Schizosaccharomyces pombe: one gene and its partner. The gene in region 1 interacts genetically with each later gene. Each region holds a gene or a part of one and is shown on either strand. Other genes may lie near its edges.

Region 1 (8,700 bases):
TCATCAAGGTTCTGGTTTTGAATTAATTGTTCCTGCTGGAAAAGATTAACAAGGGAAGCAGGAGGAGCAACACTTGGGTTGTACATGCCGTTTTGAGGATATGGCATTTGAGGTACAAGGGAAGGTTGCATAACAGGATTGGGTATAGCTTGCGAAGGATGTACCATATTAGGAGCAGCTAATCCAGCAAAATCAGTTGTAGTGCTAGGGATGTTTGGTTGACCAAAAGTAACATTACCAATACTAGCCGCACTAATCGCCGGGTCCAATGAAGAGATGTTTTCTCGAGTTACTTGAGCAGCCATTTCGGATGGAACAATGGGAATAGCGGGTTGAGAAGGTGGTTTTGGAGCGGTCATTGAGTTCAATAACTGTTCCTCCAACTCCTGCAAGCTAAAAACCTTCTCAGATGGTTGGGCACCCAAACGATCTTGAAGAGAGGCTACCTCAGGTGGAATAATAGCCGGCTTTTCTGGAACAATATTTTCCCAAATCGAAGCCATAGGCTGCAAATCGGAAAGCTTATTGATCGCAGTAGACGCAGGTTCCCGTGAAGGAAATTGTGAAGCACCATTAAGTCTACTAACTTGAGGTAACTCTGAAGAAGCTGGTTTGACAGGTTTAGCGAAAATATTTTGTTGATTAATTTGGTACTGCTCATCTTCCAATTGTGCAGATGCTTGAGCGGTAGTACCTGAAAAATCAAAATCACGTCCTAGAATTGTGAGAAAAAATATTAAAATATTAAATACTAATAGCTTGCAATATCCCAGATATGACAGCCGAGAATGATTACAGAATCACAAGCACAAAGGTACATACCTATACTTCCAGCGCTAACACCAAAAGTCTCGTCGTTTAGTTCATCTCCGGCTTCATTTAATTGATTACCCAAATCGTCGTAGGTCTCCTCAAAGTCAATGCTAAATATACTTGTGAGCTTAAAGTATCATATTTACATTAATATTAACGACTTACCCATCCTCTTCTAACTGCCCTTCGTTAGGAAACATATTTTCCTTTGGAAGGGTAGTATTAAACCCAAAAAATGACATTTTATGGGTTTATGGTAATGAGAAGTTGGTGGTAGCTAGGTGGGCGGCACTGCATACAACAATACTCATGACAGTAGATTGGGTTGGTTCGACGCAGACTGATTCATGGCGTTTTATATATATTTTTACTTTGCGTTCTTTTTTTATATCTGAATTTTAAAGTTGTTATTTGGTTTGCTATACCAGTAAATCTATCCCTATTTTATTTCACATCAATCTTCAAGACTAGCTATTAAAACCTATCACGTATAGATGTATATCATAAATATGAATTTAAATTTATCTCTTTTTGAAAGACTGAAATGTATCGAAATTTATGCATGAACATACATAAGTTGCTTGCTCAAGCAAGCTACATCAATCTGGCAATGCAGTATAGAAAAAAAGAAATATCTACTAAATTTAACTACTTTACATCATAAATTCAGTGACACTCAAATTGGTAAAAATTAATTTTAAATTATCGTAACATGTAGAGATAAAGGAAATTATTTGGAAGACGATGAATCATTCCAGATCAATTGATCAAATGCCTCCTGTTCGTGAGAAATAGGTTCATCCAACTGTTCAGAGCCTAGATTAGAAGTTCGGGAAGGAAATGCTTCAGAATTTTCTTGTCCACTAAAAGCACTATCTGTGGATTTAACACTCGAGTCTTCTTCGTAAAATGGAAAAGAATTGTTACCGGTATTTCGATTACGGTTACGAATAGCTTCCCATGCTGACGCTGGCTTTGATCGATCTTCAAAGCCATTGTCTTTAGAGTACATGGCGTCCTCTTTCTCCGTACTCTGTGAATTCGTAAAGGGATCTTGACTAGAAGAGGCACCAGTATTCGGCATACTTCCAGGTAATTGATATTTTGAGTTTTTTGGAGGGAATTCAGAAGATGAAGAAGGAAATCTGCCTTGTCGCATCGTTGTTCTTTGTCGAATAAGGGAGTCTTGTATTTTGCGAAGTATTTCAAAGCCATCATCTCTTTGACGTATAGCCGACAAATTGTATGCCAGAGTAGTAATCTGAGCAACCTATTCATAATTTGTAAGCTTGAGCTTAGTATTACTTAAAACTTACCCCATTTCCAGCAAGACCTCCTATAATTGATGTTGCATACAAGCGGATTGGAGTAACCTTTTTGTTACGAGCTAAAAAATAAGAAAGTTATTTTCAATTGCTTGTTCGAAATCTCATACCTAAGTATAATGGGAGAGAAAACCCGACTAGCATCCCAAAAATCGTATTTCTTTTGACACGGTATTTTGCATGATTTAGAAATTCCTTTTGGTCATCACTGAAATGGTTTTGAGGATCATTTAACATTCGTTCCCAAAAAAAATCCATGATAATAAACGTTGGAAGCGATTCCTGAGGCTACACAATAATGTCAAGAATATGAAACGTGCTTATACGGGTTATGTTAGCGAAATAAATGTAATTAAATTATTTGCGGACTGTACAATTTAACCCAATATATAAAAATTTGAGGCCTTTCTAATGTAAAAATACTACTACTAAAAGGTAATAGTACTCATCACTTGTTGCCTTATGGATAGTTTGGATACTGATGTAAGAGGATGTGAATAAGGAGAATCTCTAGGGATTAGGACCATCTAAATTTCCCAGCTACTACAGTGATACTTGGCATGAATAAGAAATACGTATCTGAATAAAAATTTGACACACAAGATTGTTCTGTTGAAATTTCTTATGAAACTGATAGACTGAATTTTTTTTGGCTGGTAAGCACTTGTGATGAAATATGCAACTTTTTCGAACTACGTTTTACATTCCATCTTTCAATGAAACAGACCTTGGTGGCATCAATTCGTGGTATACGATTGTTTTGAATTTTAATATTGCAAGCATATATGTTCAACAGGAATTTCCCAGTTGTTAAATAAGTCTATATCGTATAATTCTTTGTCATTAACCGTATTTATTCATTTTGAACTAATTTAGCACAGAATTCTATCTCGTAAATTAAACAAGCGCCACTGCATTTTACACAGCTAACGAAAAATACAAGAAGGCAATTGAGAAATAGAGAAATAGATGCAATACAGACTTGGTCTTTTTTTTTAAAAAGTTTTGCCAATTTAGACGGATTTTGTATCTAATATGTAGGAACTACTAGTAGTAGTTACAGCTTATTCATTAGTTAATAATGTCCAGATATCGCTTCTACAAAGGAATGAAATGTTGATAAAATTAGTAAAGAAATACAACGATATAATGGTATTTAACACATCTGGCTTATTGGAATTCGTTAATAAAAATAACGAACGCCAATGAAGTGAAATATGCAAGAGATTTTTTATTACGAGTCAATTAAATATACGCTGTCCTAATCAATTGACACACAAATACCTGAAAACTCGCATTTGGTTGTTACTTTGCCTGCATTGGAAGGATATATTTTAAAAAACCTTGTAGTAAAGAAGAATTGGAACTTTTGATGCAAGATTTACTATTCGGTAGTCACTGGATATCGTTGCTCCTTGGATTTGTTTAGCAATCGATTAATCAGACTGCTTCTCACCTATAGTTTGTATTTTCTTTGATCAATTGAAAAACTACGATTTCCAAGAAAATGTCAAAACGATCCTTAGACCCTAGTGATGATTTTAAGGGTCAAAAACGCTTAGCGATTGATCCAGAATCAACTGCCCTCGAACAAGATCGCCAAATGTTACAACAATTATCAGAACAAAATTCTGAACTCGAGCCTCAAAATGTTGCACCAAATGCAGAAATTCCTTTAGGGTTTGATCTTTCCGGAATTCAATTTAATATGACGCCGGACTTTTATTTACGCATGAATCAAGGCATGGATTACGCTTTCAACCAACCTAATCCTATTGCTACACCTCAGCAACTTCTTCGTACATCTCTTATTCCTACTCTTGGTAACCTTAGTAACATAATTTTGTCAATTCTTGGGAAGCCAGTACAAGAGGCATCTGCCATTGTCACTAATCCAGCCTCCGAAATGGGTATGGCCTTTACCAAAGTAATGAATATGTTTCGTATGGTAAAGGACATTTATACTGAAGAATCTTTTATTTATTCCTCTGCCATTGGTATGAGGACGCCGAGTCAAAGAAGTACGACTAGACGCGCAAATCTTGCTATCTTTCTGGCAGCTGTCTATGGAGCGCTACAAATTGGATTTTTTCATTTGAATGAAAATTTTCTGGAGGTTTTTGCTCCGGACGAATCTAATATCCTCACTAATCAGGGCACTCTTTATATGGAACTCAAAACCCAAGCATATATTTCGGCTATGGCTCAGGCAGAACGTCCCAAGGGAGACATATTAAACGATCTTTTTCCCTCTGACATGGCCCATCGATTTCTTATCCGACGAAATGCTAAGCTGGATGACAAACTTACTTATGTTGAAAAGCAAATCATAGAGAAATGTACGGCTAGAAAAGAAAGATTGGCAAACTTCTCCCCACAGGAAGCTTTAAATGAAGTATATCCATGGGGGAAATTTTTAAGCGAGATTGCTTGTTACATCCATAACAATTACTCGTCTATTTCGGCCATTCCAATTCCTGCTAACTCATTCAAACGACGATCCAAGAAGAACGGATTGAGGTTTAAGGCTGGCGAAGCCGAATCATCCCCTTCAGAATCTGGTTCAGACCTGACCGATAGTCTCGCATTTGGTATACCATCTTCAACTTTTGACGGCTCCTCGGAAACACAAAATGTATCCAGTGTCGTTCTTTATGATCAGGTTCGACATATGACAAATAATAACCTAAATAACAAGCGTACGAGGCGCGTAGCCAATCGTCGATCTTGGACAAAAGAGGAAGAGGAAGCATTGCTTGATGGTCTTGATTTAGTAAAAGGTCCCCGGTGGAGCCAAATTTTGGAGCTTTATGGTCCTGGAGGCAAAAAGAGTGAAGTTTTGAAATATCGCAATCAAGTTCAGTTGAAAGATAAGGCTCGCAATATGAAACTATTTTTTCTCAAAAGTGGTCAGGTGGTCCCCGCAGCATTACAATGTGTTACAGGCGATCTTCGGCGAGATTAAGTAGTATCAGGAGTTTATTTCATTCTTGATTAAGTTTGCGATTTTTTTTTAAATACTAAAACGATTAAGCGTGAGGCATTTTATGTATAAATTATAATTATTATTAATCTATGGGTTTTTTGGTGCTAATACTCGGAGGCTATTCATTACAATTGAACATTCCCGTGTATCTTTATTTACAATTTCGGAGGATGACCTGGCAATAGCTTGTTCCACAATATGCGTAACTCGCTGAAAATCGCTTCGGAATACCCGCAAGAGTATTGGATCACGGCGATCAAGCATTTGCATTTTGCTGCTGATAGAAATTGCCAGCTCTTTGAAAAAATAGATACAAATAGTTGCACCATCAAGGATAAAATTTGGTTGCATTTGAAAATATTCTAATAAATTTGGGTAGTCTGGATTACAAATATTAGCCTTTTGAAGTGACCTTTCCCAAAAGACGCATTGTGCACCAATCTTTGAAATTTGGTACCACCCGTCTTCAAATTTGGACCATATAGTAGAATTTGCCGCTGAAGGATCTGTACTGTTATGTAGGAGTCTTCGTGTAGTGGGGGACAGTTGGAAAATCGAGTCGAATTGTATAATGGCCTTCTGTATACGAGAACTTAAAAGACGAGTTAAGTCCTGTTCTAACAAATATTTGTCTAACATATATAAAACAGAGCAAGCATTTGTAAAACCATTAGAGTTCACACTGAAAGAAAGTTGATCTTCTTGTGATAATAGATAGCTGGATGTTTCTTTTATAATTCTCGATCGATTGGTTATATTAAGTTTTAAGAGTAAAGAAACGGACGATTGTCTTTTCTACAATAATTAGCCAAGAAACAGAAAATATATTTCATACCATTAATGGAAACCGGCTTAATAATTGATCAGACTCTTGTAATAGTAAAGATGCTTGATAATAGCGTGAAAGTCTTGAATTTGTTAGCATACCAAAATCATTGAGCAAAACAATAAGCATACTTTTCATTTTCATTAATCGATCCCTGGAAAAGGGGAAATAACTTTGCTTGTATGCCAAAAAACTCCCCAAGCCAATACAAAGTCATGTATGTTGAATGCAAATTTACAATTGCCTCATGAAGGGGACCCAAATTTTCAGATGGAATGACTACCAGCGAACGAATTCTTTCATAAACCAACATCAATTGTTCTAGTTTTCCCTCGATATCTTGCAAATATGACTGAGCATTCAAAGAACTAGATACATTTTTCGTCAACGTGGTTTCCTCATGCACAATCAAATCGGTAATTTGCCGCTCTACTTCTTTGAGTGCATACCCCAACCTCTTTCTGGCGACTTCTTTGTCTTCGTTAACATCGGAGTCAGCATGAACAGAGATTAACACTCGTTCAGCCTGCGCCTTTGGATCGAAATCTGATTTTTTGTAATCTGAAAAATCATATCGAAACTCCATAACAGGAATTTTAAGCGCTTTAAACGAAATTTTTACAAGCTATTTCATAGATTTTAATGATACTTAACTTTAGTTTATTTGACGATCAATCGTAAAACGCAGAATCGATACCAAATCTTACAACGAATGTTTTGAACAAGTAAAATCCGCAATTGAACAGTGTATTCTAGCACTTCTATTCGAAACACGATAACACTACAACTTTATCCTGCAAGTATACGCTTACTTCGTCTGGTGCAACTAATGTAGTATATGAGAGCGTATACCTTAGACACTTTGACCGACTATTGTAAGTAACATGCTACTCATTCATATTCTAAAGAACAAAGAAAGAGATTTTCAAATAGAAGATTGAAAAACTTATCAATTTGAACGTTGAATTTTATCGAACCACGAAGGCTTTTAAAATTCCAACTGAAATCCGCGGCTCTAAGAGTTAGTATGGTTTCAACATACTCCTCAAGTAAACATTCGTCAGGCAGTTACAGTTTTCAAACAAAGTGACTAAAAATGCAGTAAATGTATATATAAACTACTAAAATGTAATACGAATTCATATCTTTGCTCTCAAATAAAGCAAATTTAAATTTATTGGAGTTAACGAAGAGATTAACTTACAAATTGCTATAGGAAATTGACTAAGAATATACTTGAAAAATATGCTGTAGTTTGTCTAAAAAAAATTTTACTGTGGGTATTTAATTCAAAATTTGAAGTTTCAATAAATCTCGAGAATAACAGTAATAATTTGAATTCCAAAGGAAAGAGTAAATTGAATAAAGTAGTACGCAATATATCTCAAAATTGCTATAGGGTAGCTTTCCTGAAAATAGGGCATCATTTAACGAACTTAACCGCAGACTGACTTTATTGTGAAGCTATAGCTATCACTCACTCTAGATTTTGCAACCCATCAAATAGACAGAATTTAAGAGCCAAGCTTCCCTTGTAAAAGAATTGCAAAATCGCTATGGCATTTTCTTTTGGTATGCTTTGAGATTCATCAGTTATAAGTTGCTAACGACTGTAGGTCAACAAGGGTCGTCAATAAAGGCACCTTCCATTGGCTCAACTGGCGTTTTTGGCCAGTCGAATACCACAAAACCAACTGCACCTTTCGGTTCTGGATCTATTTTTGGGTCCACAAACACTAATGTAGGTGCAGGAGGCCCTACTGGTTCTTCGTCAGCTCCACCGTTTGGAAATTCAATTTTCGGTAAAACACAACAACAGCCGACCACTTCTTTCTCCAATACTACCACCAATGCCCCACAAAGTACTGTATTTGGCCAAAACGCTGCATCAAGAACCGGCAACTCAAATACGCAACCATTATTTTCGTGGAGTACAGTCAACAATCCCACAAAACCAGTAGACGAAACCAATGCTACGATCCCTAGCAGCTTATTGCTGTCTTCAGGTATATCCCCAAATGCGACCGTGAGCAATGCTCAATATGGCCCTGCTCAACCTCCGTCCGTGGAGGAGCAAGTGCAGAAAATCTTGAATGCATGGAATCTCAACCATCCTGATTGTGCTTTTCAGCGGTTCTTTTATAACAAGGTTCCTGTTGAGCAAGCTGCACTATATGTTAAGCCTCCAAATTATAACCAACAAAAATGGGACGAAGCTGTTGCTAATCGACCAAGCAACAGTGTTGTTCCCGTTTTGGCCGTAGGATTCCCCGATGTACAAAAAAGAATTAATATGCAGATTCAACAAGTGAACACGTACCGTATTCGGATGCGTGAAATTGTTGAAACTTTAGGAAGATTAAGTAACAAACACGACCTTGATTTTAGCATCAAACTTGCCGAGGCGAAAAATCGTCACGTCCGTCTGTCTGAAAGAATTTTACGACTTGCAATTAAAGTACATGTTTTACGACATCGTGGTTATGCACTAAAACCTAATGAAGAAGAGCTACGTAAAAAATTAGATGATTTAACAAAATCGCTAAATAATCCTGAAATTTTTGGTCGGCTCAACGAAATATGGGCAAGAATTACTCTTATTTTTGAAGGAGAAAAGATATCTGAAGATCAGCGAAGTAATTTGGCTAAGGGAGTAGTGGATTGGCGAAAAAATTCTGATCAACTAGAAGTCATTACGGACGTCTTAAGGGATCATCAAGTTGGTCTTTCATATGTGGTAAAACTGATGC
Region 2 (5,904 bases), on another chromosome or scaffold:
TATATACTTATTCTACAACTGTATGAACGCTTGATCCCAGTATATGTATCCATTTGTCAGTGGAACGATATTCAAAAGGTACTTCATTTAATGTTCAGTAAAGCCCCATCCACCTCTGACAATCTTTATAATTTATATTTGATTTGTTAAGTTAGTCTTTCCAAATCTCGAGAGCTATATTGGGGTGTCAGTTTGACTTGTAATCGTCATCATCGGTAACCGGTTGTTTCCAAGAACAAACTAGCGCCATAAAAATCACCACCATTGAGCTGGTTCACATAGACATTTTCGTCTTGAGAAAATATTCACCGAACTCCTAATTTACTGTCAATTGGCTTTTGTTTCTTGAACTAAGGCTATTGTAGTCGTGTTTGTGATACATCCGTTGGAACGGAAGTTGGTATAGTTTGGCAGCATTGCGCACTATGCCGTATATTAACAACTTTTTGGTTGGACCAATTGGTCTAGGATTAAAAAGTCTTACATGGACTGAGAATCCTGTTCCTGATGAAGAAGCGTTTCGAATTATGAACTATGCACTAAGTCATGGATGCAGTTTTTGGGACGCAGGTGAATTTTATGGGCTTTCTGAACCATTAGCCAATTTGCAACTTCTTTCAAGGTACTTTCAAAAGTTTCCCGATAGTATAGATAAGGTGTTCTTGTCAGTCAAAGGTGCGTTTGATCCTGAAACTCACCGAGTTCACGGGACACGAGAATGTATTACCAAAAGCATCAAAACTGTCCGAGAGACTCTCAAAAAAGTAAAGACTATTGATCTTTACCAATGTGCTGCAATTGATCCTGACACACCTATTGAGGAGACGATGGCTTGTTTGAAGGAGTTTGTAGATTCTGGTGACATTCGATGTATCGGTCTTTGTGAACCCTCTGTTGAGGAAATCAAGCGTGCTCATTCTGTTGTGCGGATTGCTGCAATTGAGGTCCATTATTCAATGCTCTTTCGCGAGATTGAATATAATGGGGTAAAAAAACTATGCCATGACTTGTCCATTCCTCTTGTAGCTCATTCCCCGTTGGCTCATGGTTTGCTAACAGGTCGTGTAACTACAATGGCGGACATTGAAAATTTAAAGAAGCATCATCAATGTAATGAGCAGCCTCCCTCAAGCACGTTTAGTTCGACTCTTCCTTGTATACAAGCATTGAAGGAGCTAGCTTCAAAATATGACATGTCGTTAGCAGAATTGGCCTTGAGTTTTATTTTGTCAGCCGGAAGGGGTAGAATTCTTCCCATACCATCGGCGACTAGTTATGATCTCATTGAAGCAAGCTTGGGATCATTTTCCAAGGTTTTAGATACATACCAATTTGCTGAAGTTGTTAGCTGCCTAGAAAAGACTTTACCGCCTCCAGCGTCTCCTAATTCAGAACCTCAAGTGACAGGAGGCTGTTCTAGTATGTGTTGAAAGTTAAAACCATAAACAGCACATAGCCACTGCTGCTTTGCTCAGGTTTTGTTAGGTTTGTGAAGATATTAGTAAATTTTGCTTGTTTCATATGATGCAAAGAGCAACAAAAGTTTGTGAGATGATATTGAAAGAGAGATTTGTTCTTCTATACTTATAAAACGGGAATGTGCCCGGATGTGCTTCATTTAATGAGAAGAACTGAAGAGTAACTGTTGGTGGATACGCCGTTTTAACTACTGTCAACGATCCTTTCATTTTCTATTAGTGTCATAACTTGCAAACAAAAGCGTTTCTTTTTCTTTTAAACTTCAACATTTTCGTTCTCTTGCAAATTTCTTACTACATTTCAATTTAATTGGGATTGTTGACTCGCAACACTCATTCCAAATTTCGAAATTTCTCTTTCTATGTATGTCTTATTAAAAAATTTCCTTTTCTTATATCACATCTTGTTTTTCTGTATATAACGCTATACCGACTTTTGTTTAGAAATGATATATCCATTTTTACTCTATACTGAGGTTTTATTTTTTTAATAGCATAGTAAACATCGTTTTAATAAACAGATTAATTTTTTAAGATCTAGCTATGTAGTCTTGCTCTTAGCGAAGGGTTTGTATAACAACATCAGATAAGCTCATTTAAAGTGACATTAGCACTAGCAAATTAGACATTCAATCTCTGCCAAGTTTTGCTAATTATTAGTTTAACAATTGAATTTTTTGGTAATTGACGGTGAAATATTATATTAAACATCCTGCGCCTTCATCGAGACCCAGCATATATAACCGACGTGACATTTCCACACATCTTAACAATTGCCGCACAAGTAATCATTTTTGAACAAGATGGTTTCCGATAGCAAATTGGAGCTTCCATTACCTGTAAACCAACAAAAACCTCGTAGAAGACGAATTTTAAAGGTTCATCTTTTAATTGCGGCTTTGATTCTGAGTGCGGTTGGCTATTTAGGCAAAGGCAAATGGATTTGGACTCCTGAACGAAAGGCTCACTTTGTACTAACTCATTTTCCTTTAATTGATGGGCATAATGATCTTCCAATATATCTTCGTGAAAATTATGATAATCGCCTTCTAAATATTTCGCTTGAGCACCTTCCTGGACAAACTGACATTTTTCGTCTTCGTCAAGGACATGTAGGGGGTCAATTCTGGTCTGTATTTGTCGAATGTCCTAGCTTGGATTCCAATAGTTCTCTTTCGTGGAATCGCACAGGTGAATATGAAGCTGTTACACAGACTCTTCAACAAATCGATGTTGTTAAAAGGATGGCTCTATACTACCCTAAAACATTCTCTTTGACTGATCATAGCGGTAAGGTCAAATTCGACTTTTTACGCAATCACATTTCAAGTATGATGGGCATTGAAGGTCTTCACCAGATTGCAGGAAGCCCATCCATTTTACGCCAATTCTACGATCTTGGCGTTCGCTATGCTACTCTTGCGCACAATTGTGACAACGTATTCGCCGATGCTGCGGTTGACGGAAAGCGTACTAACAAAGGATTGTCTCCTGCGGGCCGCGATATTGTCCGTGAAATGAATCGTCTTGGTATGATTGTAGATCTTTCACACACCACACCTGAGACCATGCATCAAGCCTTAGATGTATCAGTTGCTCCCGCATTTTTCTCACATAGTTCCGCTAAAGGGGTTTATGATCATCCCAGAAATGTTCCTGACGATGTTCTGATTCGCGTCAAGGAAACTGATGGCGTTGTTATGGTGAATTTTTACCCTGCATTCATTAGTCCACACCCTGAAAATGCTACAATTGATACCGTCGTTGAGCATATAATGCATATTGCCAATGTAACTGGATCGTATCGTCATATTGGCTTGGGTGGTGATTTCGATGGAATTGATATGGTGCCCAAGGGACTCGAGGATGTTTCCAAGTATCCTGATCTTTTTGTTAAATTGGCTGAGCGTGGTCTCAGTATCACTGAATTAGCAGATATTGCAGGCCGTAATGTGCTTCGTGTTTGGAAGACCACTGAAGATCTCGGGCATTCAATTCATGAGCCACCTTTGGAGTGGGAAGACGACTTTTAAACTTAATCGTTTATTAATAAGTCTACCTCTACCTCTTTATTTTATTTTTGGAAAAATTTACTGTATTATTCCATTTTGCCGGTTATGAATTTCTTACGATTAACGACAAACCATGCCTATTGCTTACTCTTTTATGCCCCTTGATGGATCGATTATTTTACTATTAGTTAACTAGCTCTCTTAGTTAATGTAATAAATTTTTGTTTGCTTTGAGATTATTTTCCACAGTATAATTTTTACGCATGTGTCCAATAATATAAAAAAGAAAAAGGAGAGTTAGTTATCCGATATGTGTTCATTAATTGGCAAATGCGAGACATAGAAAAACTCGATAAAAGACTGATGAAATTTGATTTTAACAGCACCCATAGACCCTTCAATCATCAAATAAATAAAAGAAACCACTGCATTAGCAAACATATTTTTTTAATAAATAAAAAATAACACACTTTTGAAAATCAGTTATGAATAAGCATTAAACGATCCCCTTCGATATGAAGAATGTGACCTCCTACGGTTATTATTCCCAGGCACGGGTAAGTTCCAAAAATCGAATATTTGGCCTATGCTGAGCTTCATTATCTTCTTCAACCGGAGAACCCTCACTGCTAACTGCGGCAGAAGGAGCACGCGATGGTCGACGACTGCGCGATTCGGAAACATTGTCAGATAAGAGTCCATTTCTCGTATCACTACTGCTTTCATTGTTCTCGTTGTAAAATGGAACTATACCAGGCCTGGGTATGTTATCATCCTCACTTTCACTGTCCCCAATATTAGTAAGAACTTGTTCACGACGACGGCGTTCTACACTATTTTCACGCAAATGAGATTCCGAATTTTGCCTTGAGTATCTAGGCCTATGATTCTCAATAGAACTCTCAATATGTCCAAGAGTGGGTTCCCTTTGTCTTTCGTCGTCCGGCTCATGTAAATTACGTTGAAAAGTATCATAGGAACGTCGTAAGAAACTGCGAAACTTGCGACCAAAACTTTTTGCCTTCGGATCCCCTTGAGCGAGTTTTTCATCAATTGAAGGTCCATTTGCATCTCGAGAACTGGTATGCGAAATAATGTTTCCTTGAGAATCTTCAACGACCAAGTCTTCGCCAATAAGATATGTCTCGTCACCAGGATTCATTTCTTCTTCTCTATCTTCCTCATTCGAGCGGCGAGGTTGCCGAGATTCATAGTCTTCAGAAGGAAATTCTTCAGCGTCATAGTGGCCTCCGCGTGGTGATTCAGCACGTTCTTCCCGTAGATGTGCGGCTTCAGGAAGCGAGACAGTTGATATATCAGCATCCTCATCTTCTTGAATGTTTACAGGATGACGCCTTCTTATGGAAGAAGCAATAGAGTTGGCAGAGGAGCGCAACGCATCAACTCTTTTAATTGGTAAGCTTTGTCCTTGACGAACACGAGGTAAGTTAAAAGCAAAATGAGAGTCCCTTGTTCTCGTAAACGACAAAGCCAACGTATTAATCCTTTTACCAAGCATGAAAAATGCAATACTGCTTCCATGAACAATGATAGAACTTAGAACCAGGAAACAAACTACTGGCCACATTACTTGTATGCAATACCAGTTTGGAATTTCAGGGTTTTCGATAGCATCATTAGGCTCAGGTACAGTGCTATGTACTTCTAATTCGGCTCGTGCAACCAAACAAGTATACAGTGCACCTACACCAATAGGACCAAAATGACCAGCAAAGAGAGCTTCTCGCCAATTGATAATATCAGGAACAAATGATTTAAATAATAAAACGGCAGGAATTCTCCTTGCAATTAAAATACATATAGCCAATACAACGAGTCGCCATACACTCAAATCCATATGTGGCATGTGAAATTGAGGCCAGGGCATGATAGCACCCACGTATACAAAAAAGGAAAGATTGAGAAGAAGGTCGATAACGTTGGAAACATGAGATTCTTCTGTTTTTTTCGAAAACCATGAGTCCCAAGAGAAAGCAGCACCAGCACAAAAAGAAACTAACAAATCATCGACACCAATGATGGTACCAATACCACCACAAAATAGTGCTAAAACGAAGTAGAATACAAGAAAACTTTCACGATCCATTAATCCTCGACGTTCCGAAAATTTAATCATCTTACGGGCTATTACACCTATTATTGCACCTAGCACACAGCCAAAGGTGCATTCGTATAAAATAATGATACATACCCAATCGCGGCCAGCATGTCGGGCAGGTTTCTCAATAATTAAATAAATAGCTAAATACAGAAAAGGAATTGCCATGCCATCATTACATCCAGATTCGGCCAAAAGCATGTTCCTAAGATGACCTGGGACTCGACGTGCAAATTTACCTTTACCGACAATAGAAGAAGCCAACACTGGATCTGTCGCAGTAATACATGCCGCT

The links. Genes that interact genetically often act in the same process or in processes that back each other up.
Region 2: mutations in tbf1 (region 1) and dpe1 together harm fitness less than expected from each alone (positive genetic interaction), as found in Schizosaccharomyces pombe (one large-scale study listed by BioGRID).

What each region holds. Positions count from the first base shown.
Region 1 is NC_003423.3:2,370,529-2,379,228, forward strand, and holds tbf1 (DNA-binding factor Trf1), read left to right. Parts: upstream 1-3,396; 5' UTR 3,397-3,645; coding exon 3,646-5,103; 3' UTR 5,104-5,211; coding exon of another isoform or gene 5,212-5,919; 3' UTR 5,920-5,959; downstream 5,960-8,700. Other genes in the region: pdc2 (topoisomerase II-associated deadenylation-dependent mRNA-decapping factor), read right to left, coding at 1-715, 823-923, 979-1,055; SPOM_SPBC19G7.18C (uncharacterized protein), read right to left, coding at 1,544-2,083, 2,130-2,200, 2,249-2,396; COG complex subunit Cog5, read right to left, coding at 5,212-5,919, 5,960-6,032, 6,082-6,536; nucleoporin Nup44, read left to right, coding at 7,507-7,522, 7,567-8,700. UniProt on the Schizosaccharomyces pombe protein: Binds the telomeric double-stranded TTACAGG repeat and regulates telomere length.
Region 2 is NC_003424.3:3,446,083-3,451,986, forward strand, and holds dpe1 (dipeptidyl peptidase), read left to right. Parts: upstream 1-2,246; 5' UTR 2,247-2,281; coding exon 2,282-3,511; 3' UTR 3,512-3,773; downstream 3,774-5,904. Other genes in the region: SPOM_SPAC3A11.11C (pyridoxal reductase), read left to right, coding at 426-1,430.